7 linked regions of the Canis lupus familiaris genome follow. The protein of the gene in region 4 binds, or shares a complex with, the protein of the main gene of each other region. Links are inferred from orthologs where the notes say so. Each region holds a gene or a part of one and is shown on either strand. Other genes may lie near its edges.

The links.
Region 1: SNRPG (region 4) and SRRM1 share a complex: the UniProt entries of both Homo sapiens proteins name them as parts of the minor spliceosome. The link is inferred for Canis lupus familiaris from reciprocal best matches to the Homo sapiens genes SNRPG and SRRM1.
Region 2: SNRPG (region 4) and LSM6 share a complex: the UniProt entries of both Homo sapiens proteins name them as parts of the U4/U6-U5 tri-snRNP complex. The link is inferred for Canis lupus familiaris from reciprocal best matches to the Homo sapiens genes SNRPG and LSM6.
Region 3: SNRPG (region 4) and SNIP1 share a complex: the UniProt entries of both Homo sapiens proteins name them as parts of the minor spliceosome. The link is inferred for Canis lupus familiaris from reciprocal best matches to the Homo sapiens genes SNRPG and SNIP1.
Region 5: SNRPG (region 4) and SNW1 share a complex: the UniProt entries of both Homo sapiens proteins name them as parts of the minor spliceosome. The link is inferred for Canis lupus familiaris from reciprocal best matches to the Homo sapiens genes SNRPG and SNW1.
Region 6: SNRPG (region 4) and CRNKL1 share a complex: the UniProt entries of both Homo sapiens proteins name them as parts of the minor spliceosome. The link is inferred for Canis lupus familiaris from reciprocal best matches to the Homo sapiens genes SNRPG and CRNKL1.
Region 7: SNRPG (region 4) and GEMIN5 share a complex: the UniProt entries of both Homo sapiens proteins name them as parts of the SMN-Sm complex. The link is inferred for Canis lupus familiaris from reciprocal best matches to the Homo sapiens genes SNRPG and GEMIN5.

What each region holds. Positions count from the first base shown.
Region 1 is NC_049223.1:74,417,087-74,421,198, reverse strand, and holds part of SRRM1 (serine/arginine repetitive matrix protein 1), read left to right. Parts: intron 1-1,616; coding exon 1,617-2,096; intron 2,097-2,670; coding exon 2,671-2,866; intron 2,867-4,112. UniProt on the Homo sapiens protein: Part of pre- and post-splicing multiprotein mRNP complexes. As a component of the minor spliceosome, involved in the splicing of U12-type introns in pre-mRNAs. Involved in numerous pre-mRNA processing events.
Region 2 is NC_049236.1:44,960,644-44,963,817, reverse strand, and holds part of LSM6 (U6 snRNA-associated Sm-like protein LSm6), read right to left. Parts: intron 548-3,174; coding exon 434-547; intron 1-433. UniProt on the Homo sapiens protein: Plays a role in pre-mRNA splicing as component of the U4/U6-U5 tri-snRNP complex that is involved in spliceosome assembly, and as component of the precatalytic spliceosome (spliceosome B complex).
Region 3 is NC_049236.1:4,998,850-5,003,471, forward strand, and holds the start of SNIP1 (smad nuclear-interacting protein 1), read left to right. Parts: upstream 1-1,574; 5' UTR 1,575-1,709; coding exon 1,710-1,936; intron 1,937-2,076; exon of another isoform or gene 2,077-2,617; coding exon of another isoform or gene 2,618-2,619; intron 2,620-3,179; coding exon 3,180-3,282; intron 3,283-4,622. Other genes in the region: DNALI1 (axonemal dynein light intermediate polypeptide 1), read right to left, coding at 265-345. UniProt on the Homo sapiens protein: Required for pre-mRNA splicing as component of the spliceosome. As a component of the minor spliceosome, involved in the splicing of U12-type introns in pre-mRNAs. Down-regulates NF-kappa-B signaling by competing with RELA for CREBBP/EP300 binding.
Region 4 is NC_049231.1:70,134,877-70,139,692, forward strand, and holds the start of SNRPG (small nuclear ribonucleoprotein G), read right to left. Parts: upstream 2,969-4,816; 5' UTR 2,917-2,968; coding exon 2,885-2,916; intron 1-2,884. UniProt on the Homo sapiens protein: Plays a role in pre-mRNA splicing as a core component of the spliceosomal U1, U2, U4 and U5 small nuclear ribonucleoproteins (snRNPs), the building blocks of the spliceosome.
Region 5 is NC_049229.1:50,802,895-50,807,006, forward strand, and holds part of SNW1 (SNW domain-containing protein 1), read right to left. Parts: intron 3,400-4,112; coding exon 3,283-3,399; intron 2,294-3,282; coding exon 2,152-2,293; intron 1-2,151. UniProt on the Homo sapiens protein: Involved in pre-mRNA splicing as component of the spliceosome. As a component of the minor spliceosome, involved in the splicing of U12-type introns in pre-mRNAs.
Region 6 is NC_049245.1:3,678,432-3,683,034, reverse strand, and holds the start of CRNKL1 (crooked neck-like protein 1), read right to left. Parts: upstream 3,242-4,603; 5' UTR 3,238-3,241; coding exon 3,064-3,237; intron 1,467-3,063; coding exon 1,314-1,466; intron 1-1,313. UniProt on the Homo sapiens protein: Involved in pre-mRNA splicing process. As a component of the minor spliceosome, involved in the splicing of U12-type introns in pre-mRNAs.
Region 7 is NC_049225.1:55,759,213-55,763,966, forward strand, and holds the start of GEMIN5 (gem-associated protein 5), read left to right. Parts: upstream 1-1,845; 5' UTR 1,846-1,935; coding exon 1,936-2,101; intron 2,102-2,895; coding exon 2,896-3,056; intron 3,057-3,759; coding exon 3,760-3,941; intron 3,942-4,754. Other genes in the region: MRPL22 (39S ribosomal protein L22, mitochondrial), read right to left, coding at 366-408, 491-518. UniProt on the Homo sapiens protein: The SMN complex catalyzes the assembly of small nuclear ribonucleoproteins (snRNPs), the building blocks of the spliceosome, and thereby plays an important role in the splicing of cellular pre-mRNAs.

The sequences.
Region 1 (4,112 bases), on a different chromosome or scaffold from region 4:
AGGGTCAGGTGGGAATAGGGAGAGTTGTTACAGTTACGTGACTGAAAATACTTAAAACAGTTGAAATGTACACTTTAAAATGGGTAAATTTTATGGTATGTGAATCACATGTCAACAAAGATGTTAAATTTAAAGGTGAAGTCATTCTATTTAGTGATTATAAAGGGAAAAATACTAACTTTACAGTGGAGAATTCCAGCAGATACCTCCTTAACTAAGGAATCATTTAACAGTCGAGAGTACATATTAGCATTATGTAATTCTTGATACCTCCATAGTATTCTTACCAATTATATAGAACCCCAGTCTGATTTTTTAGGAAATACCAGACAAACCCAAATTGAAGGTTATTCTACAAGGTAACTGACTAGTACTCTTTAAAAATGATAATCCTGAAAGACAAAGGAATAGTCTCGTATTGGCAGGAACCAAGGACACATGATAACTAAATATAATTCTGATTTTTGGAATGTGGATCAGAAGAGAAACATTAGTGCAAAACCAGGCTTGTATTTTAGTTAATACTAAATTAGTGCTGTGGCTAATTTCATAGTTTTGATCATTTTTGTTAATCTGTAGTCCTTTAGATGATCTTGCTTAGTAGGTGATGGTATTCCCATTTTTCAGGTGAGGAAATAGAGGTGCACACTACCTCATTGACCAAAAAGTAGCCTGTTGTAAAGCTGATTCTAGGCAGTAAAATATTTTGAGCTCAAGGTTGAACATTTCAGGAACAAATTAGGCAGTTGGAACTGAATGTCATATTCAGGTCTAATTTCTAAAGGCACATTAGGATTACACAAGAATCAAGCATTAAGTAAATCGAAGGTCAGCTTGGACTTCTGTCGGGATGCATTCTGCCTAGAAGATAGACTTCCACTGAAAAGTGGCTTTCTTTGAGACACAAAATCCAAGTCTCTCCTTGGCAGGGTGGGGTAGGTATAGATAGATCTTTTAAAATGTATGCAAGTGAACTTATAGTCCAAATGCCAGTTCAAGAGAGCACCACATCGGAGAGCTCTTTTTTTAAAAAAGATTTTTCTTACTTGAGAGAGCACGAGTGGGGGTAGAGGAGAGAGGCAGCAGGGGAAAGAGAAGCAGACTCCCCCCCCACTGAGCAGGGAGCCCCACATTGGGCTCAATCCAAGACCCCAAGATCATGACCTGAGCTAAAGGCAGAATGCTTATTAACCAACTAAGCACCCAGGTGCCCCCAGGAGAGCTCTTTAAAGGACAGACTTCCTAAGTTTCCTGTAATAGAGTCCTGCTAATGTAGCCACCTAGCTCTTACATAATAATGGGTGTTCACAGTTTATGCAAGATTCTCTTCTCAAAAAAACTCATTAAATTGGTTCCATATGGATTATATTAAGTGACTTTTGACAAACTAGAATTCAGTCTGGAAACTTCAGATTTCTCCATTATGCAGAATGTCCTGTTTCTTAGTCATCTAGGATAAACAAATCCACTAAATGATTTCTTTTCCTTTACATGAGGATAAAGGCATAGCATTTCCAGTTAAAATTCTGTCTTTGCCTGGTGCTTAACACAGTGTTGCCATAACTGCTGGTTAGGTTTCTGTGCATTCTGTTGCCTTATTCTTTTGGACCTTAATGGTGTTTTTTTCCTAGAACTCCTTCTCCTCCCCCCCGCCGGCGCTCACCGTCCCCAAGAAGATACTCTCCTCCGATACAGAGGAGATACTCTCCTTCTCCACCTCCAAAGAGAAGAACGGCTTCTCCCCCTCCCCCTCCTAAACGAAGGGCATCACCATCTCCACCACCAAAGCGTCGGGTCTCCCATTCTCCACCTCCCAAACAAAGAAGCTCCCCAGTCACCAAGAGACGTTCGCCTTCATTATCATCAAAGCATAGGAAAGGGTCTTCCCCGAGCCGGTCTACCCGGGAGCCCCGGTCACCACAACCAAACAAAAGGCATTCGCCCTCACCACGGCCTCGAGCTCCTCAGACCTCCTCAAGTCCTCCACCTGTTCGAAGAGGAGCATCATCATCACCCCAAAGAAGGCAGTCCCCTTCTCCAAGTACTAGGCCCATTAGGAGAGTCTCCAGGACTCCGGAACCCAAAAAGACAAAAAAGTAAAAATATTTTATGCTTTTTTTGGTTAGGAACACTAACTTGCATAGCTCTTTATGTTTGGAAGCTTTTTTCCCCCCTTTACTGAGAAATTACAGAAAAGAATAAGCTGGGAATACAGGCTTTTAAGGCAGCTTAAAGGTACTATACACAGATCCATTTTCTCTTTTCAGGATAGTTCCTCATGGGACAAACTAAATGCCATAGGACTCCATATTTGGTTCCTAGGGGTATCAGGGGAATGTGCTTCCAAAACTAAACTCTGAAATAATGCATAGAACATTTCTTGGATGTCTGTGTAAGACTGGTAAAAGTTGTCTGAAGTACAAGGAACTGGCATTATTAATTTCATCTAGGAAAAATTGTTAACAGAATGGACAGAGGATTATGGGGCTTAAACTGCTAAGAGATTTAGACCATACAAATTTGATATGTGTGTTAGTAGAATCAACTAGCAAACTAATAGTAAAATGTAAAGTTTGTGACTTGGTTATATAATGGTGGTTGGTTATTTTCTCTTAGGAAAGACCTTTGCTCTTGGATACTAAATGTTTTGTTCTTTCCCTCTGTTTCTAGGGCTGCCTCACCAAGCCCTCAGTCTGTAAGGAGGGTTTCGTCCTCTCGATCTGTCTCAGGATCTCCTGAGCCAGCAGCTAAAAAACCCCCAGCACCTCAATCCCCTGTCCAGTCTCAGTCCCCCTCTACCAACTGGTCACCAGCGGTACCGGTCAAAAAGGCTAAAAGCCCAACACCAAGCCCATCTCCGGCAAGGGTATGTGTTTGCCCTATTTTGGGGTTTATAATTGTATGTGGTCACTGGGAAGCAAAGACAAGTTATTACTTATTTGCGACCCAGGGCAGCATTATTTTCTGTAGTTCAGCTGGACTTCAGGGAAGTATGAAATTAAGTGGTGGTGGTTACACCACAGTCCATGCTTCATATTCCACCCACCCACTAATTGACACCATGTCTGATACTTTTAAATTCTCTCATCTTAGTGGTTAAAATTGGGCTATATTGAAAATCTAGAATAACAAAAGAGTTACCCATGAATCTATTATATAGTGGAAAATAGCTTAGTATTTTTTGTTGTTTCTATAGCATTTGACATACTGGATACTGAAGATCACAAAATCAATAAAACTTTCAAAATTAGATCATGTGTGTTAGTATTATTCCACGTTTATGAAGGAAAAAATATTACAAAAGAAGTACCAAATGTTCATAGTGATTATATGTGAGAAGGGGAAGTGATGAGTAATCTTAATTTTTCTTTACGTGTAGTGCCCTTTTTCTATTTCTAATATATTAGAAATAATATATTTCTATAAAAAATGAACCTGGCAACCTGTAAAATACTAGCTGAAGTGGAAAGTACAGTATTGTCTGGTTTAGTCTTAACCTCTGGCAAGTTGCATAAATAAGGGACACCTGGTGGCTCAGCGGTTGAGCACCTGCCTTCGGCCCAGGGTGTGCTTCCAGAGTCCAGGGAGCGAGTCCCACATCGGGCTCCCGGCATGGAGCCTGCTTCTCCCTCTGCCTGTGTCTCTGCCTCTCTCTGTGTGTCTCTCTCATGAATAAATAAATAAAATCTTTAATTAAAAAAAAAGTTGCATAAATAAGAATAACACTTGTTTTTACCTTGTGAAGTTTAAATGTCATTGGGATATTAAAGTATTGGAGTTTAAACTATATCATCCCCTCTATGAATCATTAATCTGATCTTGAATAGGTTTCTTTATTGTATGAAGTCAGTAGTTAGATGTCCATGTCAGCAGTCGGGTTGCCTGAATTACTTTACAAAGTAATTGAATGGATTGAGGAATTTTAAGTAACTGCTTACAAATGTGAAATTTGAGAATTACAGATGGAATTCAATTACAGCAGAATTGCCCTTTGCATAATTTTGGCGTTAACAGTTGGACCCTTGAATAGCATTGAGCGGGGCCACTTACACATGGAAATTTTTGGTGAATACAGTACAGCATTGTAAATGTGTTTTTTCTTCCTTATACTT
Region 2 (3,174 bases), on a different chromosome or scaffold from region 4:
GAGGCCAACCTCCACAAAAAGCACCTGAACATTTAAGAGAGAAAGGCCAATCAGGACAGGCTAACTGCAAAATGATGCAAACCAAAGATAATGGGGCAAGAGTGGCCACTCTTACAGCTCCAACTTCTGATGTGAGAGGCAGTGCTGGGGGAATGTAATAAACTGTACTCAGGGTTCTGAATCAGTGTCCTACTGCCCCTCAGGTCCTTGTTAGTGGAGAGAGGGAAGGTGAGAATGTCTATTCCAAAATTCTATGAAGCATCCTAAAAAAAACTAGCCACAGTAAAGATCTGAGATAGAAGAAGTTAAAAATAAACAAAGCAAAACGAAAACTAAACTTTTGAATTATGTAGAAAATCTGCGGGGGATCCTGATTATAGACAAAAAGGCTTCTTTGGGGATGTTGCACAACTGTACAGCGAGAGATTATTACCATTGTTTCCACGGATAAATGCATCACCATACTTATTCTTCAGCTGTCCATTTACATATTCTTCCGTCTGCTCCAAGGCTATATTCATGTAGCCATCCAGGCAAGCCAGGACCCCTGGAGGCAGATTTAGTCAAAGAGAAGATATACAAGGCAAATAAGAGTTGAAAATTACAGGGTACACCTTAGAGCTGACAATCTCATTATTTGTTAGCTCTCACATCCTTAATATAAAAATTCACGCTGTAAGTGAAACTCAATAGTTTCATTCTATGCCAATGTGAATGAAGGCTAAGAAGCATACAGTGTGAAAGCAGACATGGATGCATTGCTAACAGGGAAAACATCAAACTATCACTTGCTTCATGGGACGTGTGATCACAGCAAGTTCTAAAGCCTTCACAAAAATAACGTAACGAGCACACTCCAAATAAAATACCATTCTTTGAAAGCTAAAATCAGGAGTGGGCAATTATGCACGAACAAATGACCACTGGCCAAGGCTCCTCACTTCCAGGGGGCATGTCTTACTTTAGCCACTAAGTAAAATATGAGTCTGGCAGATTTACTGCATTCTTTTGCAACATCTACTGCAGCAGATGAATGTACTCCAGGGTTAAGAGGAAGTCTCCACAATCTGTTAAAATAATAGAAGAGGAGATAGCAGGTGCTCCTGAAGGAACAACTTAAAGCTGTGACTCACAGTGAAGAGCAGCTTGAGAAGACAGGGCACCATATTGCATTATAACACATCCCTTTCTGTTTTGTTACACTTAGAATATTTTCAAATCCAGACTAATATAGAAAAATGGCCAAAAACATTCTAAAGAGCTTTTAAGGGAAACTGTTTGAGTCAATCTTTTTAATTGTGTTGAGATGGTATAAATTGTGCACAATGTGCCCTGATAATTTTTTTCAAAAGATGAAAATATAGAAGCCTCCGAGTCTCTAACTTCAAGCGGTAATATCTAGAAAAAAAAAATTAAGAATACTACAAGTTTGATACAATTAGCCAAATCGATAGCTTCATTTAGTCTCACTAAATGCTCCTCACTCCCTGCCTCTGCCCTCATTTGCCTCTAAACAAAAATGTTTCTTTTCCAAATTGTGTAATGAGAACACACGACATTAATCTGAAGGAATTCTGCTAGAAGCTGTACACTTTCAAATAATCAGAATAGATTTGAACAATTACTAACAATTATTTTCCATCAAAAGAAAGCCTAAGATATAACTTTCCTGTTTATTTCCTACTGTATTATTTTATATCTAAGCCACAATCCTAAGTGAGCAAGAAACTTCCAAAGCATGATATGCAAATGTTTGAAAGTTAACCCAAAGCATTTCAAAATGAAATATTCACTAGTAAAAAGTTATGTATTCTCCTTGCAAAGGTTGATTTAAGAAAAAGGCCAGGAGGTTGTCATTGTCTCTAAAGGGATAAAGTACCAGGAAGAACAGGAAAAAAAAAAGTTTTCTTCAAAATTTAAGAGAAATTGCTACAAAGAGCTGGGTTTTTAAAATTTAATCATGACAGTGACTAGCCATGTGAAAGGCCTCCAACCTCTCTAGTAAACAAAAAAAAAAAAACAAATAAAATGAAACTAGCACTTGTTGCCAATTAGAATGGAAAAGCTGAAAAGAAGGGGTTGGTGAGAACCCACAGAAGAATAAGCCCATCTGCCTTGAGGGGAGGGCCACTTGGCACACTCATTAACACAGAAATCCTAGCCTAGGGAATTTATTTTAAAGAAATACTTGGATACATGTCAAAGGAGAAAAGCTGTTTACTTAAAATAGTAAAAAAAACACTGGTAAACACCTACACATCCATCAATAGGAAATTGGTTAAAAACAAAAACAGAACTGTGGTACATCCCCATAAGGTACTCCTATACAGCATTAAACATTCTATATTGTCAGAGAACTGAATATATTTTTTTAATGTAAAAAGAAAAAAAATCAGAATGTATGCAGAGCTGATCCCATTTATATGAAATTATGCTTATATGGATTCAGGTCCAAACTGGTTAGCCTGATTCTCTCTGGATGGTAGAATTTGGGGAGACTGCTTTCTTCTGTATATTTTTCTTCATTATTTGCTTTGAAATTCTTTAGAAAAGAGAGATGAAATGAAAAAAAAAAAAAAAAGAAAAATTCATATACTACCTTTACAAATAAAAATATTATCCCTAACGAGTATAGAGAAAAAAGTCAGGCTAGGCCGGCTGAACTCCTCAGTGAAGTGGGTTCTGAGAAGATACTGAACACAATGTCCCCACCCTAACCAACTGTTGAATATGCTCAAATCTCTTAAAGTCTATTCTCTCCTCTGTGCTCATCAAACGTTCATGGGTATGAAGCAGTACATAGAGACTTTATACCTCAGTATTCAGTATAAATCCATTAGTTTCCACTATAAAAATAAAATTAAACTGGGTTATTGATGTCAAGAAACTAAAGCAGTACATAAACAGCAGAGTGGCTTCTTAACAAGGCTTTTAAGTCAGGCTTGAGTTGGGAGTCCTAGCTCCTCCCTTGCTAGGTAGGGACAAGCAGACATCTCAAAGGATTTATGTGAAGATAAATTGGAAACTGAAATGATTAGCACACACTGGACACATAGGAGGTTCTCAGAAAAATTAAGCTTGCAAGAGTGGAAAGAGGAAAAAGCTCAAAATTAGCATCCTCATTCAGAAAAGAGACAAGAAAAGGCTTTACTCTGCTAATGAATGAGTAATCCG
Region 3 (4,622 bases), on a different chromosome or scaffold from region 4:
TAAGTTAGGTCTCAGCTGAAGGTGGAGAGAGCCTGCGGTCCCACCCCCGGCCCAAGGTCTGTATCTCCTGGAACCGCTGCTGCAGGCGCAGGTGCTCAGCGGCCTGGGGATGGAGCGAGCGCGACCGGACCAGTGTGCAGGACAGCGAGCCCCATGCACCCCGGGGCTTGCTTCCTCACCCTACACCAGCCCTCCGGGTGCCCCCCGGGTGCCCCCCGCCCCTCGGAGCCTCCGGGCTCCCCCGCCCCCCAGGCCCGCCCTGACCTTGGGGCTCCGCTTCTCCGTGTTCCGGCTCACCAGCACCGGGGTGTCGTACTTGAGCAGAGAGTCCGCAGGGGGGATCATGGCGGCGACGCGGGTTCGAGTCCGGCGGCCGCCCCTCCAGCGTGCTCCTTGTTTGCCGTCACCATGGAAACCCCCCGGCCCCCCCGCCGCGCCTCGTGGCCTGGGCGGGGCTTCGGATGGGGCGGGGCCAGCAGCGCAGAGTTCCCGCTCAGCCTCGCCAGGAATTCTCCTCCCGCTCGGTTGATCGCGGTTCCTGCCCCGCGGGTCGCCTTGATGCTCCTGGAAAACCACGCCAAACGGGAACGGAGTCCCCACGCTGCGGCTCGCAGGCCATTGCAACGAGGCGCACGGTCACCTTCGCTGGCCGCCAACTTTGTCACCTGCAGAATGGGAGCCCTGTGACTCCTCGGTGGAGGCTTGGGAATCTGCAGATTCCCAGAGGGAGGCACCTGCAGCTCCCCGGTTTCTTTTTTTTTTTTAATTTTATTTATTCATGAGAGAGAGAGAGAGAGGCAGGGACACAGGCAGAGGGAGAAGCAGGCTCCACGCAGGGAGCCCGACGTGGGACTTGATCCGGGGTCTCCAGGGTCACGCCCTGGGTCAAAGGCAGGCGCTAACCGCTGAGCCACCCGGGGATTCCCGGAGCTCCCTGGTTTTCTTTTTAAAAATTAAAAATAATTTTTTTGCTCCCCAGTTTTAAAAAGTATTTGTGTTGGGGCGAGGGGCACCTGGCTGGTTCAGTCAGTAGAGGGTGAGACGTCGATATGGGGGTGGGGAGTTCCAGCCCCACCGCTGGCTCTAGAAAGGACTTGAAAATAAAAAGTAAAAAAAAATAAATAAAAAAAAGTAAAAAAGTAAATAAATTAAGAATTCATTTTTTAAATTAAATGGAGAAGTGACAACATAACACGAAGCTCAGGACTAGCAGGGAAGATAGTAATGACTTGCCCCCACCCCCCCGGGGGGCTGTCAGTGATTGCATTTCCTTCTCTGTTTCCTCTTTTTTTTTAAATATTTTGTTTATTTATGAGAGACACAGGCAGAGGGAGAAGCAGGCTCCACGCAGGGAGCCCGACGTGGGACTCGATCCCGAATCTCCAGGATCCAGCCCCGGGCTGCAGGCGGCGCTAAACAACCGCTGAGCCACCCGGGCTGCCCAGAAGCGTCTCTTTGACGTTTAAAACTCCCGCCACCCGAGCGGCTCCCGACAGCCCCTCCCGCTTGCAGGGTCGTGGTCACGTGCTTCGCTCGCCGCCGCAAGGGTTTCTGGGAGAGCGCGCACCCGGAAGCGGAAGTGCGGGGGGTCAAGCCCGTCGTTTCCTTTAGCGAGAGGAGCGCAACGGATCTCTCTCTCTCTCTTTTTTTTTTTTTGTTTGTTTTGTTTTGTTTCCCTCCCCCGCTTCGCTCTCTGCTCGTATCTCAGCATGAAGGAGGTAAAGAGCGAGCGGGAGCGGGGCACCCGGCGGAGGCACCGCGACGGGGACGTGGTGGCGGCGGCGATGGTGGTGAAGGTGAAGCAGGAGCGCCTGAGCCCGGAAGCCGCGCCGCCCGCCCACCGCCGCCCCGAGTCCTCGGGCGGGAGCGCGTCCCCGCCGGCCGGCGACCCGGGCCGCCCTGGGCACCGCGGGAGCCGAGCCCGAGGAGGCAGCCGGTAAGTGGGGGAGGCGCCCGGGATGGGGACTTGGAGGAGGGGCGGGGCTGGCGTCAGAGCCCCGTTTTGGGAGCCGAGCGCGGCTGCTCGGGTTTCATGTCAAAGGGGGTGGGGGGGGGGTGAGCCGGTGGCGCTGTGCGGGAGAGCGTTTACGGCGGCCCCTGCCTGATGCGCAGGATCCCGCCCCCCTCATCCCTGCGCCCCGCATCTGCCCGGACACCGCGCATATGGACCCGAAATAAAGGCTCCTCCGCATCTGCCCGCACATGGGCTGCCGGCCTACTAGGCCTTCCAGACGTCTGCCCCAGAAGCCCTCCGCCTTGGCAGCCCAGGCGATCCACCTGGTAGGCAGTTGGAAGAAAAACCATCTCTTGCTGGACTGCTCCGTGTATTCCTTCGACTTAAGTTGTGAGCGCGTTGCTAAAGGAAGAAAGACAGCCGTCGCTCCTGGGGCCTCGTGCGGCCTTTGCCCCGGCGAAATGGAATGGGTGTGCTCCCGCCTCGAGACAGAGTAACAAGGCCGATAAAATAGTTTCCGTATGTAACAAGTATTAAGAAGCGGCTCCAACCGGAGGTGTGAGAGCGAGCCTTGGAAGGAAGCGAGAGAAGGAAGGCCCCTCTGAAAACGTGCGGTTTGCGTTGAGACCCGAACGATAAGGATTGTCCAGGCTGGGGAAACCCATGTGCGCAAAGAAGCTGAAGCCCGGTTAATGTGATTGTTCTAGAAGTGGGAGTGCGGGGTGGGGGTGGAGAGGGGTCGTTTAGGGATCAACGGAGGGGAGAGAGGCGATCTAGAGCCGGAGGACTGACTCGCTGTCGGATTGACGTGGTTGTTGCCGGAGAGTGTCGGGAGCTATTGCTGGGGAAAGGAAAGGGGAGTCACGGGGGGTTCTCTGGGTTTTTTGGGCTTGAGAAGCAGGGTGGATGGTGATACCCGTTACTGAGATGGCAGAGGCTGAGGGAGGAAAGGGCTTTGAGGGGTTGGGAAGCAAGAGTCAGGCTCTCAGAATGCTCCAGAGGCAGCTCTGTGTGTGTGTGTGTGGGGGGGGGGGGGGGTCTGAAGCTCAAGGAGGGTGTCCCGGGCTGGAGAGCGGAGCTCCCCGCCTTCCTTGGTGTGAAAAGCAGAGCCCTTCACTGGATGTGCTGTTTGTATTGTTAGTAAGTAAGCCTGACACTTGACTGTGAGTGTATATGGGGGAAGGGAAATTGAGATAAAATCCTGTGTGTACCCTGCTCCAAAAAGGTCCCCAGCCAAGAGGAAAAACAAGTCCTCAGGGAGAAGAAGCAAGTCTCCTCGGAGTAAGAGAAGCCGAAGCCCTCACCACTCGACAGTCAAAGTGAAGCAGGTAAGCGGACCGAGATGTTTTGATACCAGGTCCAAATCTAGAATCTCTTACCGTCCTGACAAATACATGATCCTAGGTGTTTACCTTTATCCGTAGCGGGTGTTTCTAGAAACTGGGTTGTTGTTGTTTTTCTACTTGTTTTGTGACACCTTTTTAAAAAAATTTTGAGAATTGTTGATTTACACACTCAGCTGTTTTAAAAAATAAAAAATACAGAGGTACGTTCTTCACTGTGTTTTTCCCACTGGTAGCATCTTACAGAATTCCAGTGCAGTATCACCGGGAGGGTATTGACATCGTGACAGTTAAGATGCGAACATTTCCATCCCCACAAGGACCCATTGGGTTGTCCTTGGATAGTCTCACCCGCCTGTCTCTCATCCTTAACCCCTCAAGTCCTGGCAACTTCTAATCTGCTCTCTGTCTCTATAACGGTTGTCACTTCAAGAACATTATGTAAATGGAATCATGTAAATGGAATCATCCGTCTAACCTTTAGGGATTGGCTTTTTTCACTCAGCACATTTCTTTGGAGATTCATTCAGCTTGTCTTTGTCAGTATTTGATTCCTTTTTTATTGCTGAGTGATACTCAGTGGTGTGGTTTTAACCCTTTACCCATTAAAGGACAAGTGAGTTGTTACCAGTTTTTGGTTATTGTGTATATAAGGTTGCTGTGTAACATTTGTATACAGGTTTTTGTGTGAACACGTCTTCAGTTTTCTGGGATAAGTGCCCAGGTGTGCCATTGTTAAATGGCATGGTGATTGCATGCCAGACTGTGTTCCAGGAGGGCTGTGTTGGTTTTCTAGGGCTTCCATAACCAAATACCACAGACTGGATACCTTAAACAACAAAAATTAATTTTCTCACAATTCTGGAGGCTAAAGTCCAAGGTCAAGGTGTTAGGAGGTTTTGTTTCTCCTGACGCCTCTTTCCTTGGTTTTCGAATGGCTACCTTCTTGGCTGGGTCCTCACATGGCCTCTCCTCTGTGGGCTTGCATCCCTGGTGTCTCTTCCTCTTCAGATAAGGACACCAGTCATATTGGATTAGGGCTTTGCTGTCAACTTAATCATGTCTTTAAAGACCTTATCTCAAAAAAAGAAAAAAAAAAAAGAAACCAAAAACGGATGCCTGGCTGTCTCCGTTGGTAGAGCAGTTGGCTCTTAATCCTTAATCAGGGTTGTGAGTTCAAGCCCCACATTGGGCATGGCACCTACTTTAAAAACCAAACGCACCCCCCCCCCCAAATGGTTACATTCTGAGGATGGGAGTTGGAACCTCGACATATGAATGGGGGGAAGGGGCGTGATTCAGTCCATGACAGTGGCTGTACCGTT
Region 4 (4,816 bases):
GTTATGGGAGCATGAAGTCATGCAGTCAAATGAGTTTTTACCCCTTCCAGTTACAGGCTAGAAAATATGACATTTCATGCAATTTTTAAAGATTTGTTCAATGGCACCTGGATGACTCAGTGATTCAAGCGTCTGCCTTTGGCTCAGGTCATGATCCCAGGATCCTGGGATTGAGTCTCACAAAGGGCTCCCTGCTCAGTAGGGAGTCTGCTTCTCCCTCTACCCCTCTCCCTGCTCATGTTCTCTCAAATAAATAAACAAAAATCTTTAAAAAAAATTTGAGAGAGCACTTGCAAAAGTGGGGTAGGGGCAAAGAGAGAGACTATCAAGCAGACTCCTTGATGAGCGTGGAGACCCACAGGGGGCTCCATCTCACCACCCATGAGATCATGATCTGAGCTGACACCAAGAGTTGGACACCTAACCAACCGAGCCATTCAAGCACCCCTGAAATTTCATGCAATTTTAATGTATGAGAGAATTCAAAGGTAAGTTAAGACACAGGCCTGGGGCACCTGGGTGGCGCCTCCTTTGAGCACCTGAGTTTTGGCTTAGGTCATGATCTTGGGTTGTGAGATGGAGCCTCAAGTAGGGCTCCATGCTCAGTGCAGAGTCTGCTTGTCCCTCTCCCTCTGTTCCTCCCCTCACATGCTCTCTAATAAATGAAACCTTAAAAAAAAAACACCCCAAAATACGTTGTAGTATATATAAAATAATTTAATAGGATATATATAAAAGACAGCAAATAGAACACATATGAACTTATTTAGCCCTAAGTGAGATCTTGTTATTATCACTATTTTACAGATGAGGAACCAAGGGTCAGAAAGATTTTCTAAAGTCACATAGTAAGAAAGTTTGAGCAAATGCAAATGGTTCATTTTGGCTGTAGAATGGGATACTCCACACTAGTGTGTGTCATATTTGGCACCTTGCATTTCAGATGGAAGAGCCTGAACGCCGTGCCAACAAGTCTACACTTTACTGTTCAGATAGTCATAAATTATTAAAGCAGAGTCCAGTCATTGGCAATACCACCATGGCAGTGATTTTTAGGAAGTGGGATGGAGAATTTGGTTAGGTCTCAGTATCTCCACCCCGGCCTAGTAACATCTGGGGCCAGGTAACTCTGTTGAGTGATGTCCAGCGCGTTGTACAATGTTCAGCAGCATCTCTAGCTTCTACTCACTAGCGGCCTGCCAGTAGAAACAGGCTCCCTACCCCACAGTTAAGAACCACTGAATTAAGCTAAACCAGGAGGAGGGCATAAAAGAGTAGAAAATATCTGTGAAGAAATAAAAGAGAAAAAAAATTGAAGGTCATTTTGGAGGATGGTCTCAAAGTACATGAGATCGAGAGATGAGAGAAATTATTAAAACCAGTTTCATCCTGTGAAATTCTCAAATATCTGTTAAGAAACAAAAGCACCTGTTAAGAAATGAAAAAGGTAATCTAAGATTACAAGTAGAGGATGGTTCTTTTGCTAAAAATAATTAGCATCTCACCAGTTCGTGAAGAACCCAGAGAATACTTCTAAGGTTTTGCCAAGTCGTCAAGGAAAGAGAGTTTTAGACAGAACTCCAAAATAAGTTGTATTTTTCTTAACGTCGGGCTCACGATGAACACTTCAACAGACCCAGCTAAAATACACGGAGTTCTTGCACAAAAAATGGCTTTGATACAAATATGCATTTCAATGTAAAACTATTTTTTTTCTTTAAAAGATTTACTTGAGAGCGAGAACCAGAGAGAGAGAGAGAGTGCGCGTGCGAGCGAGCAGGCGAGCAGTGGGGAGGGGGCAGAGAAGGAGGAGACACACCAAGCCGACTCCACGCTGAGCCCAGAGCCCACCGGGGCTGATCTCACCAGCAGATCAGGATCTGGGCTGAAACCAAGAGTGGGACCCTTAACCGACTGACCACCAAGGCGCCCCTAAATGCACAATTTCCTGGGCAGCCCGGGGGTGGGGGGGGGTGGGGCTCAGCGGTTGTGCGGCTGCCTTTGGCTCAGGTCGTGACCCCAAGGTTCTGGGATCGAGTCCTGCGTCGGGCTCCCTGCATGGAGCCCGCTTCTCCCTCTGCCTGTGTCTCAAATAAATAATAAAAAAAATCTTAAAAAAAAAAAAAAAAAGCACAATTACTAAATACGGCTTTTTCTTGCAGTCTGACTCCTCCACGAGGCTGGCAGGACGTGACCCACGCACAGGGCGGACGGCTGTTTCACAAAGCGACCCCCGGGTCCCGTTCTCCTGTTCTGCGCTACCACGTGCAGAAATCCTGGGACTGCGCGGCGGACACGAGACGGAGGCACTCGGGAGGCCCTGCACACGCTCGGCCCAGCGTCCCCGAGCCCGGGCCCACGCAAGTAGGAACATCCGGTTTTGAGGGGATTTTTACTGGATGCAGGAAAAAAGAAAAAAACTTACTTTTCTTGGATTAAAAAAAAAGAAAAAAATGAACGTTCCCCCACAGCGCTGTTAACAGATCACGTGACATCCAAGTCTTAACTTCTGCACAAGATCAAAAAAAAATTTATTTTTTTTAAATTTTCATCTATTCATGAGAGACCCAGAGAGAGAGAGAGAGACAGAGAGACACAGAGAGAGAGAGAGAGGCGCAGAGACCCGGGCGGAGGGAGGAGCAGGCTCCACGCAGGGAGCCCGACGCGGGCCTCGAACCCGTGACCCCGGGTCACGCCCTGGGCCGCGGGCGGCGCTAACCCCGCTGGGCCCCCGGGCGCCCCGGAGGGAGATTCCGAGAACAGAGCTCAAGGAAACCGCCGCCCCGCCCCGTCCTCGCGCCCCGCGGAGCCGCTCTGCCGCCCCCCGAGCGGGGCCCCGGCGCACGGACGCCGCCACCCGCACGCGGCCCTCCCGCGTACTCACTTTTTCAGCTCGGGAGGGTGAGCCTTGCTCATGGCGCCGACTCGGCGAGCTCGCAGAGGCCTCCACACGGCTCCCTCACGCTCCCGCCGCTTGGCGCCTGACGTCACCGGCCCCCGCCGCCAATCAAACGCCGGCAGAGGTCACATTCCCTCCCGCGATACTTTGAGGGCGCCCCCGGACTTGCCGAACGCCCGCGAGTTTCCGGTTGCGTTGCCAGCGATTGGCCTGCATGGGGCTACATGGGGTGGGACTTCCGGTCGCCTCCTCAATTCCGTTTCCTGATTGGTGAAACTGACGTAAGGGCTGGGTCTCTAAGTCGTCGGCGCAGCTGGCGGATCCCTCGCTTTGCGACCTGCGCGGGTTAGCGTCCTCGCACGTGCCCAGTGCGCACGCGCTCGGGAGGGCTGGGCTCTGGTCCTGCCAAGGTCGATCAGCCTGCGGTGCCCCCGCATCGGGCGCTCTGCTCCTCCCTTCTGCCTGTGTCTCTCGTTAATAAATAAAATCTTAAAAAAAAAAAAAAAAAAAAAAAAGACTTAGGCCTCGGTGATTCTGAGTAGAGGATGATTCTCCAAAATTCAGTTCCTCCCTAATGTCCAGGAATGGCTCTATTTAAATACGAATAAAAGACTGAGCCTCATTCTAGCACTCAAAATCCTACAGGTGGCATTTGCCCAACTTCCCACCTCTCGCTGCTTACAAGCAGCTACGGTCCCGAAATGGATGGTTTAGCCTTCCCACGGTTATTTTTACATTAATGGACTCCGAGTCCCAGGGCCTTAGCTTGTCCTGTTTTCCCCCATTTACAATGAACCAGTCCCGCGTCTGAATCACAGCGAGTTTTTACTCTTCACGACGTCTTCAGACACTTATTTTACACATTACAAAGAGAAGCATCCTAAGAAAGTTGTAGATTCACTGCTCGCATACGAGAGACGCCGTAGTGGAGGAAAAAACTAAACCTTATTTATTTTTTAAAACTGAACCACTAGGAAAATAGATCACAGACTTGAGACACCCAACGCAGGCTATATCATCATTTCAAGTACTAAGTTGGTAAAAAGACAGTAAGGTCTTTATCAAAATGAAAAGGTGCTAGAGCTGGGGCAGGAACACGGCTTGCTGCAAAGGTCCTGGGGCAAGGGTGGCATTTGGTAATGGGGTGGGGGGTTGCCCCTCTTCTGCTTTAAAGGGATCACAGCCCACCCTTGAGTTGCCTACTTTTTCTCCTTTGACCTTCCTGTCACCAAGTGATTGTCTGAATAGGACTCTGTTATTTTGGGGGCAAAATAAGCAATACTGAGTTTAGGTTTTCATCCCATTCTGTTCCATAAAAGCCAGGTTTTTCCAAAGCCAGTACCTAATAACTCTCTTAATTAAGAAGACAAGAGCTCCTCCTTCAGTGTTCATTCCTGGATGCTGGTAAATGGTGCAATCAAAAACCCCTTTCCCTTCAAAAAGGAGAGTGTCACTGTGAGATTGTCCTGTCGCTCTGCTGCAGATAGCCTCGGGGCCCGTCATGGCAGCTGGCGAGAGGAAAGATCTGCTTCCCATACCCAATGGAGCATCACCTGTCATGTTTTTGCAGGGTCTCTCTCCTAGCTGAAAGATGGGATGTGTATTTCAAGAAATGCACACCCACATCTTGATGGCCAGAAACAGATAACCACAAGAACTGTTCAAAGTTCTACCTCTCCCAACTCCGTATCTTAAATCCATTTCATGCCCTTCTATATAAAAAACCAAGCAAAACAAAGACCCAGAAACCTTTTTTTTCCCTTCTAGATTAGTGACCTCGTGGATTTTGTTTGACAGCTTATGGAAAACGATTTGGTGATCCTTCTGGTAAACAGGAGGTTGGCAACAAACAGAAATACCTCTGCGCACACCACCAGATTGCAGGCAGGTTACAGGAACCTGCCAGCCTGTTGGTAC
Region 5 (4,112 bases), on a different chromosome or scaffold from region 4:
CATCCTTGACTCTTTTTTTTCATACCTCTACCTAATCCATAAGCAAATTTTGTCAGCTCTCCCTGCAAAATACATCTGTATTTGGCAGTGTTTTCCCTGCCTCTCTTATTATCATCTCTCATCTGGATTACTGCACTAGCCCTCCAAATGACTTCCCTACTCCCCCACATGCCCACTTCACAGCCTGCTCATGTATGGTAGATCATGTTGTTCTGCTTAACTCTTCAACTTCTTCCCTTGTTATTTGAAATAAAAGCCACCTCCTTAAATGGCTAAAAGACCACACATGATCTGGCTACTACCTTTCCTATTTACTCTATTTTGATACCTTGTCTCCTACTACTTAGCTTTCTTGCTCCAATCTGGCTGTACTGGCCTCCCTGCTTTTCCTTTAACATACCAAGAGTACTCCCAACTCAGGGCCCTTGCACTTGCTGTTCCTTCTATCTGGGATGCTCTTCAAAACCCTAGATATCTATAAGGCTCAATTCCTTACTTCAATTTTTGTGCTAATGTTACCATCTCAGAAGTAAGGTTCATCTTGACCCTCTCCTGGCACTTTTGTCCCTTTTTCTTGTTTTATTTGTCTCCATAGCAATTATTACTATACTATTATTATTAATCATCTAGTAATGATAATTAACTTTTTTGGTCTCTCTACACTCACTAGAATGTTTATTGCCATACCTCCAACAACAGAAATCCTTATGTCTAGAAGAGAACCTTGGGCAGTTCCGGTGGCTCAGCGGTTTAGCGCCACCTTTGGCCCAGGGCCTGATCCTGGAGACCTGGGATCGAGTCCCATGTCGGGGACCCTGCATGGAGCCTGCTTCTCCTTCTGCCTGTGTCTCTGCCTCCCTCCCTCCCTCCCTCCCTCTCTCTCTCTCTCTCTCCCCCTCTATGGAGCCTACTTCTTCCTCTGCCTGTGTCTCTGCCTCTCTCTCTGTCTCTCATGAATAAATAAATAAATAAATAAAATCTTAAAAAAAAAAAAAAAGAGAACCTTATATATAGTAGGTGCTCAATATGAGTTGAATGAATAATTGTACTAGTCTAGGATTTATTAATGAAAAAAAAAAAACAACCCTCACAGTTTTCTTGAATTAGAATTACTCTTTTAAATGAATTACTAAAGTAGTGTAGACCACTAAATAAAGCCAGAGGAAAAATACTAGCAGATTTAATGATTATAGGTGTATTAGCCTATAAAATAGAAAAACTGGATTATTTTACTATGTGGGGGAGCTGAATTATTCAGTTGGGGATCTCAATTTTCTATTTTTTTTAAAAGATTTTATTTATTTTACTCATGAGAGAGACACACACAGAAAGAGAGAGAGAGAGAAAGAGAGAGAGAGAGAGAGAGAGAGGTAGAGACACAGGCAGAGGGAGAAGCAGGCTTCATGCCCGAGGGAGCCCAATGCGGGATTCAATCCAGGGTCTCCAGGACCAGGCTCTGGGCTGAAGGTGGCGCTAAACCACTGAGCCACCTGGGCTGCCCCTCAATTTTCTAAGTTTTAAGAAAATTAAAATGAGAGACAAATCAAGCCCATCATTTGAATGTGATTTTTAAATCTATTATTACTCTGAACCTTAAAAACGTCTAGTGTAGTCCCATACTTCCTTAAACATATAGTCTTTATTTTCTACTACTACAGCTCATTAATAGAAGTTATTCTTTCATTTTTATGTTATTTGTAAAACATTGGCATTTTCTTTTTCTTTTTAAAAGATTATATTTATTTATTCATGAGAGACACAAGAGAGGCAGAGGCCCAGACAGAGGGGGAAGCAGACTCCATGCATGGAGCCCCATGTGGGACTTGATTCCGGGACTCCAGGATCATGCCCTGAGCTGAAGGCAGACACCTAACCGCTGAGCCACCAGGCATCCCAAAGACTTTTTAAAAAAATATTTTATTTATTTATTCATGAGAGACACAGAGACAGAGGCAGAGATATAGGTAGAGGGAGAAGCAGGCTCCCTGCAGGGAGCCTGATGCAGGACTCGATTCCAGGATCTTAGAAACCTCTACGTTTTCTTTATAGGTGTGTATTAATTTTATGTGCAGTAAAAACAACAGCGATTCTCTAAAATGAGGTATGTATTGTTTACAATGTAAATTCAACTTAGTAAAGAGAATGTCATACCTTTTTCCACATGAGTTTTAATCCCAGCTCTTCTCTCTCTAGCTTTCTGGGCCATTTCTCTAAGTTTCTCTTCATGTTTCTCCTTTTCTTTTTGTGCCATCTTTCTCTCTACTTGAGCACGCATTTCTACAGCTTCACGAGCCTGTTAGTAAGATTGAATGTTAAATAAGACACGACTAGGGGTAAGTTACAGCTATCATCCAACACTGTAACTAAAGTCTGGCTTGAAAGAGAAGTTATAAAGAATTTAGATTTGTTATTGCTGATTAAAACAAAGATTCTTGTCCACTAAAGAAACCTTGCCTGGAATACAATGCAAACTTAGATTTTCACTCTGGAAAATATTTTAGTGGCTGAAAGTATAGGACCCCAATCAATCTTATAAATCACTGTTTCACTAGTGCTTTCTCAGAAACAACCCAAAATATAAAAAGATTCCAGTAAAGAAATTTTCAATATCAGTAACATAGCATGTGTTCAAAATCAAGCAAGTCTATTCAAGATAAAGCCTTAGCAAGAAATGATTTTTATAAGGGTTCTTGCTATGATACAGGAGATATACTTCTCTATGCTTTAGATGCATGCCATAATGTATGTGAACTTCTAAGTCAGACATTAATAGTATTAATGCCATAATATTAAAAGACAACCAATATTATAACTATCATTTTCTATAGCATTCAAATATCAAAATGTTTATTTGCCCTTCTATGCTACCAACCTTTTGGGAGGCATCTATATTTAAAATAAATAAATCATGAAATCTAAAAACAGCAGTCGGCAATCTCCTTCAAAATGAGATCGGCCTAGCAAACCATCGTTCTAGAATGTGGAAGCTGGACTGCCAGTGGTAGGGTATGTGTGTAAGTCTACAAAGGCTAGACCAGGTATAGAACTGTAAATAGCACCTGCCACCTCTGGCACACATGCTGCAGGTGAGAGCCTCTCTGGGTACTGAGTACTGTAGCATAAATGGCAGTATCTTAGGTAAATCAAACCATCATGCTATATGGCTTAAAATTTACAGTGATATGTCAATTAAACTGGAATGAACAAACAATATCTTAGGTAACCAAAAATGGATTTACAAATTATCAAGAGCATTAAACCATTTAATTATAACAGACCAACCTTCCGATCAGCAATATAGAGGGCTTCGGCCAGCTTAGCAAAATTCTCATTGATGTGAACTGTCTGCAGGCCTCTTCCATCAGCAGCCAGACGTTTGTCTAATGGAATTGTATACCCCTGTGTGACAGCAGGCAGAAAATACCAGTCATAAAAGAGCAGCAATATATTCTTTAAAAACAGATTTAAATGTCCATTTTGACCACCACTGAACTGAAGTTTTTTTTCTTATATCTTTTTTCACAGTTATATAACAGCAGCAGCAGCTAACATGGAGGGCTTCCTATGGAGGCCAATTTAAAAGCACTTCACACTGTAGTCCCATTTCACCTTCATTGTGACTCTGGAAGGCTGATTAACACTGTGTTTCCGTTTCACAGATGCTGCTACTGAGGTAGGGAGCTTAGATAATGTCCCCAAGGGCACACAGTTAATAACAGATGAGCTAAAATTTAAACTTGGGTAGTGTGACGTTAGAGCCCAAGCTCTGAGCAAAATATTTTCGTGTTAATAATGAGTTATAATAAAAGGAAATCACTAGCAAATAGCTAGATAGCTGTTTTTCAAGTAATTTAACAGTCATATAAAAGTGAAACAAGACACTAAGAGTACATAGAGGTAGTTTAATGTGCACTGTTTCAACTGAAATTTTGAATCCTATTTTCAATAACTCAAGGAATATGCTTGAACATCCAGGACATTTCAGGCTTAGCTTTATTTTTCCAGATTTTTGACTACATTCCCAAATGTTGACCTCTTGTCCATAGTCTTTATTCCCAATAAATGGGAGTGTTACAGAATCAGCTCAAGATATCACATAATTATATATAGGT
Region 6 (4,603 bases), on a different chromosome or scaffold from region 4:
AAAGATTTTTATTTATTTATTCATGAAAGACAGACAGAGAGAGAGGCAGAGACACAGGCAGACGGAGAAGCAGGCTCCGTGCAGGGAGCCCGATGTGGGACTTGATCCCAGGTCTCCAGGCTCACGCCCTGGGCCAAAGGTGGTGCTAAACTGCTGAGCCACCCGGGCTGCCCCTCAGGTGTTTCTTTAAAGTCTTACACATGAAGAGAAAAATTTTAGATATAAAGAATTATTAGCAGAATTGTTGGTATTTTCTCTTCTTGCTAATAGCTAACTGACACTTTAATATACTTTATACCTTTTTAAATAAAAACCTGAAAAAAAAATATATACTTTATACTTTTTCCTAGCATGGAAATGTTCTTGACTATTTCTACTAGTCCTCTCAGTAATGTCTCAGAATTTCATACATCACTCTTTGAACATCACTAATAAGTAGATAAAACAGGCTTAGTGGTTTAAAATTATCCTACAGGTGCCTGAGCGGCTCAGGTGGTTAAGCAGCAGACTCTTGAATTTGGCTCAGGTCATGACTTCAGGGTCATAAATACAAGCCCTGTGTGGGTTTCCACACTGAGCCTAGAGCCTGCTTAAGATTCTCTCTCTCCCTCTGCCCCTCCCCCTGCTTACACGCTCTTTGTCTCTTGAAACAAACAAATAAATAAAATCTTTTTTTTTAAAGATTTTATTTATTTATTCATGAGAGAGAGAGAGAGAGAGGGAGAGACAGAGAGGGAGGCAGAGGCACAGACAGAGGGAGAAGGAGGCTCCATGCAGGGAGCCCAATGCGGGACTCAATCCTGGGTCTCCAGGATCATGCCCTGGGCTGAAGGCAGTGCTAAACTGCTGAGCCACCCAGGCTGCCCAATAAAATCTTTAAAGAAAAAAAAAAAAAAAAAATTACCCTAGAGTGAGGATTCTAGGGTGAAGAATCCAAGTCCTCTCTCAGCTCTTTTCCAGGTCTCAATTCTTACCATAAAATGTACAGAGAGAGTACATAATGTGACCTTGGTTAAGACCAGCCCCTTCCAACTGTCAGATGTTCCACTTGTTAAACTTCCATCTTTGATTCTGCACCAAAAATTATGTCTCTGGTGGACTGAATCTCTTTATACTTTAAAAGACAATTCATGGCATATTTTGTAAAGTTCAGCAAAATGCAATTATTTGGTAACCAGGAGTTACATTACTCATGTGGCTAGAAACACTAACCTATTCTTATAGCCTCTCTAACCAATGAGGAATTCTGCAAACTTTGACCTATAAAGTAATAACAATGTTATTAATAGACTGAAAATATCACCCTGACTGACCTTCCTTTTTCTTAGTTTGTAATCATTTAATTCTTCTTCATCTGTGATCTTCTGTTGAGGTGGAGGAGGAAGAAGCTCAAGTTCTCTTTCTTTAGCTTCTCTTAAGAGTTGCTCAGCAGTTATCTGTACCTCAGCTGGGGCTTTGTTTTTCACCTTTTAAGATAGAAGATATTCTCATTTTTAGTAGATGCTCATCACACAAAGTTTAGGAAGCAAAAAGACATTTTTTTAGGATGGGAACTTTGTATTATTACAAGATGCCCTCTTCATATGACAGGTTTTCATTTCTCTATGAAATTAAACAGAAAACAAAGTTTTCTTTCTTATGCATGGTATTTATTACAAAGCCATAGGTAAGTCTTCAGAGAAAAGGTAGCAAAAATAGCAAGTGTTCTCTTTTAGATTAGAATAATAATAAACCTTGAGGCTGCTCAGGTAAATTCTCACTAGAGGTGTTTTATGAAGATGTGTGCTGTATCTTTCCTAGTGTTACACTCTCTATTTACAGAACTTTTCAATTATGCCCCATGTGGATGATAATGCCTCAAACTGTGTTTGGTTGTTTTCATGGCATTTCAAATCAAAGACAGTTCAATAAATTCCCATAATTAGACAGACCATAAGTTTCTTGAAGTCTTAGAGCTGTGCTGTCCAACATAGTAGTCATGAGCTAATGCAGTGAGCCCAAATAGAGATGGACTGTAAGGGTAAAATATACACTAGATTTTGAAGACATAGTGTGAAATAAGCCAGTAAACTGCCTGATTAGATTTCCTATGTTGATTACATGTTCAATTAGCAATATATTGGATACAATGGATTAAAGAAAATATACAGTTAAAATTAATGTCACCTGTTTTGACTATTTAATGTAGCTACAGGAAAACTTAAAATTACATAATGTGGCTCACACTGTATATCTGTTGGACCACTGGTGCCCTGTAACATTTTATGGAATTGGATTATAAGAAATATTGTTTAATGCCATGTGTGGAATGACTTTGATAATAATGACTACAGCTCATATGCAGTCACAGATGCTGTGCTATGTGACTTAAACGGATATGTAAAGGACAAGCTCAAGAGAGCCACCTGGGCTGGAGAGACAGACTGGAGTGAGGGCGTCCGTAAAGGTTCAGGGTAAAGCCCGTCACACATTAAGCACTCAGTGAGTATCAGTCACCGATGGAACTATCATATAATACCAAACTTACTGTTTAATTAAATTAATGCCACTACACAACCCATGCCCTCTCATTCTTTCCAGGCTCAGGGGGCCTAACTCCTAGTCAGCCACCAGGTGTCGGCTTAAACATCACTTCCTCAGGAAAGCGGACTCGGCATACCCCTCATACAAACCCCATCACTCCGCGGCATATCCTACGCCGCCTCACTCGTATTCGGCAAGGTGGCAATTTCACATTGGCTCGTGTCATTTGTGAAAACGGCACATTGCCCGCGTTAGGTCGTAGTTCCTTCCCCAGCGCCTAGCGCGCTGCCTAAATCCTGCCGAATGACCCCACTCCTCCCTCCGCAAAAACACGCCCTAGAAAGAAGGCCGCGCCAACGCGGCGTGGGAAGGGAGCGTCTCCGGGGCGACAAAAGCCTGCGCCCCACCGCCTGCCAACCCTTCCACTCGATCCACACGGGGTAGGATGGCTCTAGGCAGTCTTCCGCCGCGGGCCCCGAGGAGGCTGGGGCAAGCCCCTCTCCGGGGCCTCCTCCCACAAAGCCCTTCGCGGTCTCCTACCTTCGCCACTTTGGGAATCCTCTGCTTCCCGGCAGCGGTGGAGGCCGCCATGGCTGCAGCACAAGACCGCGACTCAACCTGGACCCCAGAAATAGACCCCGAGGGCTGGACAGAATCCCAGGGATTTCCGACAACAAGCGAGATCCCAAAACAGGAAGCGGAAGTTGCTGGCATGACCTTTGACTTCACGCACGCGCCGTGACGCCGGCAACTTCGTTTCTGTGGTAACCGGGCTGAGCGTCCTCCTCGGAGAGCAGTGTCTCGGAGTTGCGGGAGAGGTGGGTAGTGCTGGCTCGCCCGACAGGGGCGCGGGGACGGAGTCCGGGGCGCCAGGGGCGCATCCCCAGGTCAGTCTCCGGAACTGGGAGGACTTGCGAGGATGGGTGGGTCGGTCGAACCGTGGCTCCGGGGAAGGGCAAAAGGAACAAAGCTCCGATCCGGAGGCTTGGGGTCGGGGCAGAGAGGTAGGCCAGAAAACTTCCTTTCCCAGCATGCCAAGGGGCGAGCTGCTGCGTTCCTAGGTGGCCTGGCGCCGCGTTGCGTTCTAGGTTTTGTAGTCTTGGAGGTCTCTTTTTTTTTTTTTTTTTTTTCTGGACAGTTGTGCACAAGTGAAGTAACTGAAGGCATCTTAAAGCCAAATAATAGAAAAAAATGAAAATAAATCATCAAAGTACTAGCAAATAAACCATCCTTGTGGTCAGATAAACAGATGCTTAATTTTTTGTAAATGTGCCTTAATTACATCAATTCTCTTAGCCCCATGGTGCTTAGCTGTGAGACAAAAAGAATAGTATCTATTTTATCATCATTAAGGAGAAAATCTATGTAAAGTGCTCCGTAAATGTTAGCTGGTGTAATTCTTGACCTATCTTCAAAAGAAAAAGCTAATTTTATGCAAGCAAATAGTGAAGAGAATTTTTTTTAAAAAGACTTTTTAAAATAGCAGTTTTAAGTTCACAGAAAAGTTGAATGAAGGTACAGAGAATTTCTGTTTCTCACACCTGCCGTCCCGTTTGCCCCCACAATCGATATTCCCCGTGAGAGTGGTACATTTTTGTAATTGATGAACCTACACTGACAGCTCATTATTCACAAGTTAACATTAGGGTTCACATTCTATGGAATTTAGTGACCTGTATCTACCATCATAGAATGGTAAAGAATAGTTTTTCCATCCTAAAAATCCTTTGTGCTCCATCTATTTATTCCTCCTTCTCCTTTTGCCTCCTATAACCACTGATTTTAAAAAATTTTTAGGGCTGCTTTTTTTCAGAATGTTGTGTCATTTGCATCGGTATGTAGCTTTTTTAGAGTGGTTTCTTTCACTTGTTATATGCATTTGGGCTTCCTCCCTGTCTTCGTGGTGTGATAGCTCACTGGTTAAGAAATTTTTACAATTGCAAGGCTCTTTTGGTATTCAGAAAAAATATTCATAAGTATAAATATATGTGTGTATTTTATGTATTTAAATCTATCTCCGTAAATAGTGCTATTGAGAAAACGTTAACTGAAGTCATTTGTAACCAGTATAAAAATATTT
Region 7 (4,754 bases), on a different chromosome or scaffold from region 4:
CGACGCTAGATACATTGTAAAGCGCGGTTGTCTCCGATACAGCCCCTGCTCATGGTAAGCAGGAACGAGAGGGAACTAGAAAAGTCGGACGCTCCCAACACCGTTGGGAAAAGCGTTAACCATGCTCAGAGACTGTCCAGAAAAGAGATTCACAATGTCCCTTGAATAACCGGTTATCCTGATTCCGTCGGAGCCATGCAGCACGGCGGCGGAAAGATGGAGTGACCAAGTAGACTGGCTGTCCCGTTCGTTTCCACAGCCACAGAACCTAAGGGCCGAGGGTGGCACACAGGCGCCCAGGAATTAACTGACAACCCGGTAAGGAGTCCTTGAGTCCTCTGCAACTCCGGGGTGAAAAGACTTACCCTAAGGCCAGCTTCCTCCGCAGGTTCGGCATCCATGATGCACCTGAAACATCAACACAAGCAGTCAGTTCCGATTTCCACCTCCATTCCCTCCTACGGCGCCTAAACCGCTCAGAAATCCCTACCCAAGCGCTCCAGCGTTGCCGCCGCCATCTTCCTCCCTCCCTCTACGGAAGCCTCCGAGTTCACGCACTGCCGGGACCACGCGCATGCGCAGTTCTCAGGTTGTCTGCCCCCGCGCGAGACCCGGCAGTACTCCCGCCCCGGGTGCCGTCCTGGGGACCGCGAACGCGCCGCCCGCGCCTGAGGTGTGAGCCGGACACCTTTGCCTGGGAGTGAGTGACTTTAACACAGGCCGAAGACTGAGAGTGTACGGACATTCATGGAGATCCAGAAAAATTGAGAAACCTCCCCTCACACGTGGCCAGAAAGAGTAGGACAAGAGACGGTGAACAAGCCACCTAACGTGGGTGGACCTGTTTCCTCAGCAAAACAGAAAAGCGGCACAGGCTTGTTGTGAAGATCACTAGAGATCGTGTGGAAAGCTCTTTCAAAGAACAAACAGCTCAAATATAGAGTATGATGTCCTAATCCCTATGCTAATCTCCAGGTTGATCTACAAGAGATAAATCAATACTCATATGCCGGGCAGGCGTTTCACTAAATCTGTGAATTCCTCACAGCAATCCGACCAGGCATGGGTTATCACCTTCCTGCAAGTGAGAAAGCAGATTGGGACAGGTTAAGGTATCTCCAACAACAACCGGCAAAACCACTGATTCAGCCTCGGCCTGGATGCCTCCCAAACTGGTGCCCCTACCCACATTCAAAAACATGCGTGGCCTCTCCCCGTTAGGAGAGATCTCCGGCGTCGTTCGTCCCCGTTCAGGGCTGCCACATACCCCAGGAGAGCCGGGGCGCGGAGCCCGCAGCTCCACACACATCGCCCTTCACGGAGCCGGCACCCCATCAAGTCACGCGATTCTGCTCCTCTTTGAGTCCGAAGACTCTAGGGCCAGAATTTCCTCGCGGTTGCAGAAACTAACTCTTCCGGTCTTTTTTGATTTGATTCGAACGTTTATCTTTTGGTTAACTGGCTTGTTGCAGGTCTCTGCAGAATCTCCGGAGCTAGCGAAGTACCCTGGCACAGAGCGTTCACAACTACTTGACGGAATAGTGGCTGAACTATTCAAAAATTAAAAACTTAAAACGGCTGGTCGAGGTGACTCCACTAGTCAGTCTAACGCTTTAATTAGTACTTTGCTGTGGGAGGTGAGAAAGCCTGACCCCCAGGCTGGGCTCGGCAGCACCGGGACTCCTGGCCCCGGGCGGCGGCGGCGGCAGGCAGAGCCCCGCGCGCGCGGCCGCCCCTCCCAGCCCGGCGGCGGCGGCGGCGGCGGCGGCGGCGGGAGCGGCGCTCGCGGTGCGGCCTGGGCCTCGGCGCGCGCCGTAGCGGCGGGCCCGGCGAGGCGGGGCTCCGAGCCAGCCCCGCCCCCTTCCCGGCTGCGGCGTGGGGCTGCGAACGGTCTGCTCCTGGGGTTCCTTCGTTCGTCCCTGCTGGGCCGTGATCATGGGACAGGAGCCGCGCACGCTGCCGCCCTCTCCTAACTGGTACTGCGCCCGCTGCAGCGATGCGGTGCCCGGGGGCCTCTTCGGCTTCGCAGCGCGGACCTCCGTCTTCCTTGTGCGCGTGGGCCCAAGCGCTGGCGCGATCCCTGGGACGCCCCCATTTCGAGGTAACTCCCCGCTTTGAGCCCCCGCCCTCCTGCCCTTGTTGGGTTCGTCGTAGGCGCCGAGGGAGAGTTTCTAGGCACCCTTCCCTGCAGGTGGGGAAACTGAGGCCCAGGTTGGCAGAAGGATACCGGGCTGAGTTGCGTCCGCGTCTCCAGGATTGAGTTACCATACCACGCTGTGGCTGCGCGGCCCCGCCTCCTGGCGCTCTCGCGTAGAACCGCTCGCTCCCTCGAGTTACCCCTTTATGGAGCCAGGCGTTGATAACCTCTGTGGCCTCCCTCCCCGACGCAGCGCACACTGTCCCCTGGGAGCCTCCCTGCGTTCCGGGGCTGTCTACAGCTCCAGGCCCTGAACAACGTCCTGGAAATAGATGATACCTGTTTCTTGAAGATGAATGAGTTGAGCCAGATGCTTTCAGGCTCCAAGCTAGGTTTAGATTTTGCCTTGGGACATGGCAAGCCAGTTATTTATTCTTTCCCAAATGACCTCTGGGCCACGTTTAAATAAGAATCACTTTTACATTCTTCATTTGAGCCGCTCCTCAGCCTGTGAACTGTGAACAACAAGGGATATCAGCAGCATTTTACGGCTGAAAAGAGTGAGGCTCAAGGAGATAAAATGACTGGGCTGAAGTCCCGTGGCAGAGCCAGAACCAGCACTTGGGATTTCTGATTGTGAGTGCCTGGATATTTTTGTTATGCCATGGGATAAGTGAAGTCCCACTCGTCTAACATCAGTATGATCCTCCCAGGAATCTTAGGTAGCACTCTAACCTGAAGTCCGGTTTTGCTTGAAGTCGTAGGGGAGTTGGTGGGACACACCGAAAGGGTCTCTGGCTTCACATTTTCTCATCATCCGGGTCAATACAACCTCTGCGCCACCAGCTCTGATGATGGAACTGTGAAAATCTGGGATGCGGAAACAAAAACAGTTGTGACAGAACATGCACTCCATCAGGTACTGTGGCTTACCGGTTTCTCAGACCATTATTATATATTTGCTGAGGGTTCTTTTGTTTCAAGTACGCTAACTCATCTGTGCAAGTTAACTTTTATAATAATGTCCATTATTTGGATGAGAAGCTCTATATTCTATATATAAATTGTAAGATGCCTCAAAACTTTTTTGGAAGGAGATACATATAAACCAGAGGTCAGCAAACTACTGTGCTGCCTGTTTTTGCAAATTGGTTTTATTGGAACACACCCTCAGTCATTCATTTAAGTATTGGCTGCTTGCATACTACAACAGCAGAGTAGTTGTACCAGAGACAGTATGGCACACAAAGTCTAAAATGTCTACAATCTGGTTTTTTAACATGGAAAAGACTCCTGACATAAACTGTAAATGAATGAAATTTGTTTCTAAACCAGATGATTACTTACTAAGCCTACCTTTTGAGAGAATGTAGAAAAGAAAAAGACTCAATCTTAGTAAGAACTTTCAATTAAGCTAAAGGAAGAAATGTTTTTAAATAGTTCTTTAATCCTTAGGAGCTTAAATTCTTCTACCATTTGGTTAATGTAGTCTTGGTATACAAGTGGTACTAACGGTATTTATTAAGTACATATCAATGTGCCTAGTATTATACAAGTTAAAAATGAAGTAAAAATTCAGCACTGACAAATGAAAAGCAATGTATTTTTGTTTTGTTTTAAAGCATACAATATCAGCACTGCATTGGTCTCCTCAAGTAAAGGATTTAATAGTATCTGGAGATGAAAAAGGAGTAGTTTTCTGTTACTGGCTTAACCGAAATGACAGCCAGCACCTCTTTATAGAACCCAGGACAATTTTCTGTCTTACTTGCTCACCTCATCATGAAGATTTAGTAGCCATTGGGTAAGTACTGTGTCATCTGTACTGGTAATTTGTTTTTGTTAATGAGCATATTTTGCATTTGCTTTATCTTCTCTTCCTTATTCCTCAGAGGAAGCCATGTATAGGTATTAACCATTCCCTGAGCCCATGGTATCATTTATTCCTGTGACTTCCAGGTCCTTACTGTCCTTCTCACTCTCTCTGTTTTTATTTCTTTAATTTCTACAATAGTGTACTTTCCTCATTCTTCACATCTGATTTCTTCAGCTAGCCTCCAAATGTAGGAAATACCCTCTTTCTCCCCTTTCCTCTCTCAATATTTGCTCTTGGAGATAACATTTACTCTCAGAATGTCAGAGGACTTAACTCTGTCCCTGTTCGCAGCTCTCCCTCTGGATTGGGACAGTAGTCTGGCATTGGGCGCTGCCTCCGCCTCGATCACCAGGATTATTTCACATAAACTGCCTGAATGGGCACCACCCTTTTCCTCACCGCTCCATCTACTACTCTCCCAAAGATGTCTTATCACTCTAGTTTGGATATTTGACATAAGCACTAGAATGCCAGAGGAGAAGTCTAGTTGGAGTGAATTCAAGAGACTGGGGTACAGTAGTCAAGATACACATGGAGACTTTTGTTTTTTGTACAAATGTGCATAGACATGAAGCCAGAGGAGGTACATGGTAGTAAAGGGAATATTAAATGGAAGATAATAGGGCATATTTTTATGCTGATGGAAGAGGAAAAGCTGGTTGCATGGAGAAATGGTAATAAATACAGGAGTGATATGAGAAGTCAAGAGGGATTGTATCCAGATCACAAGTAGAAAGGACA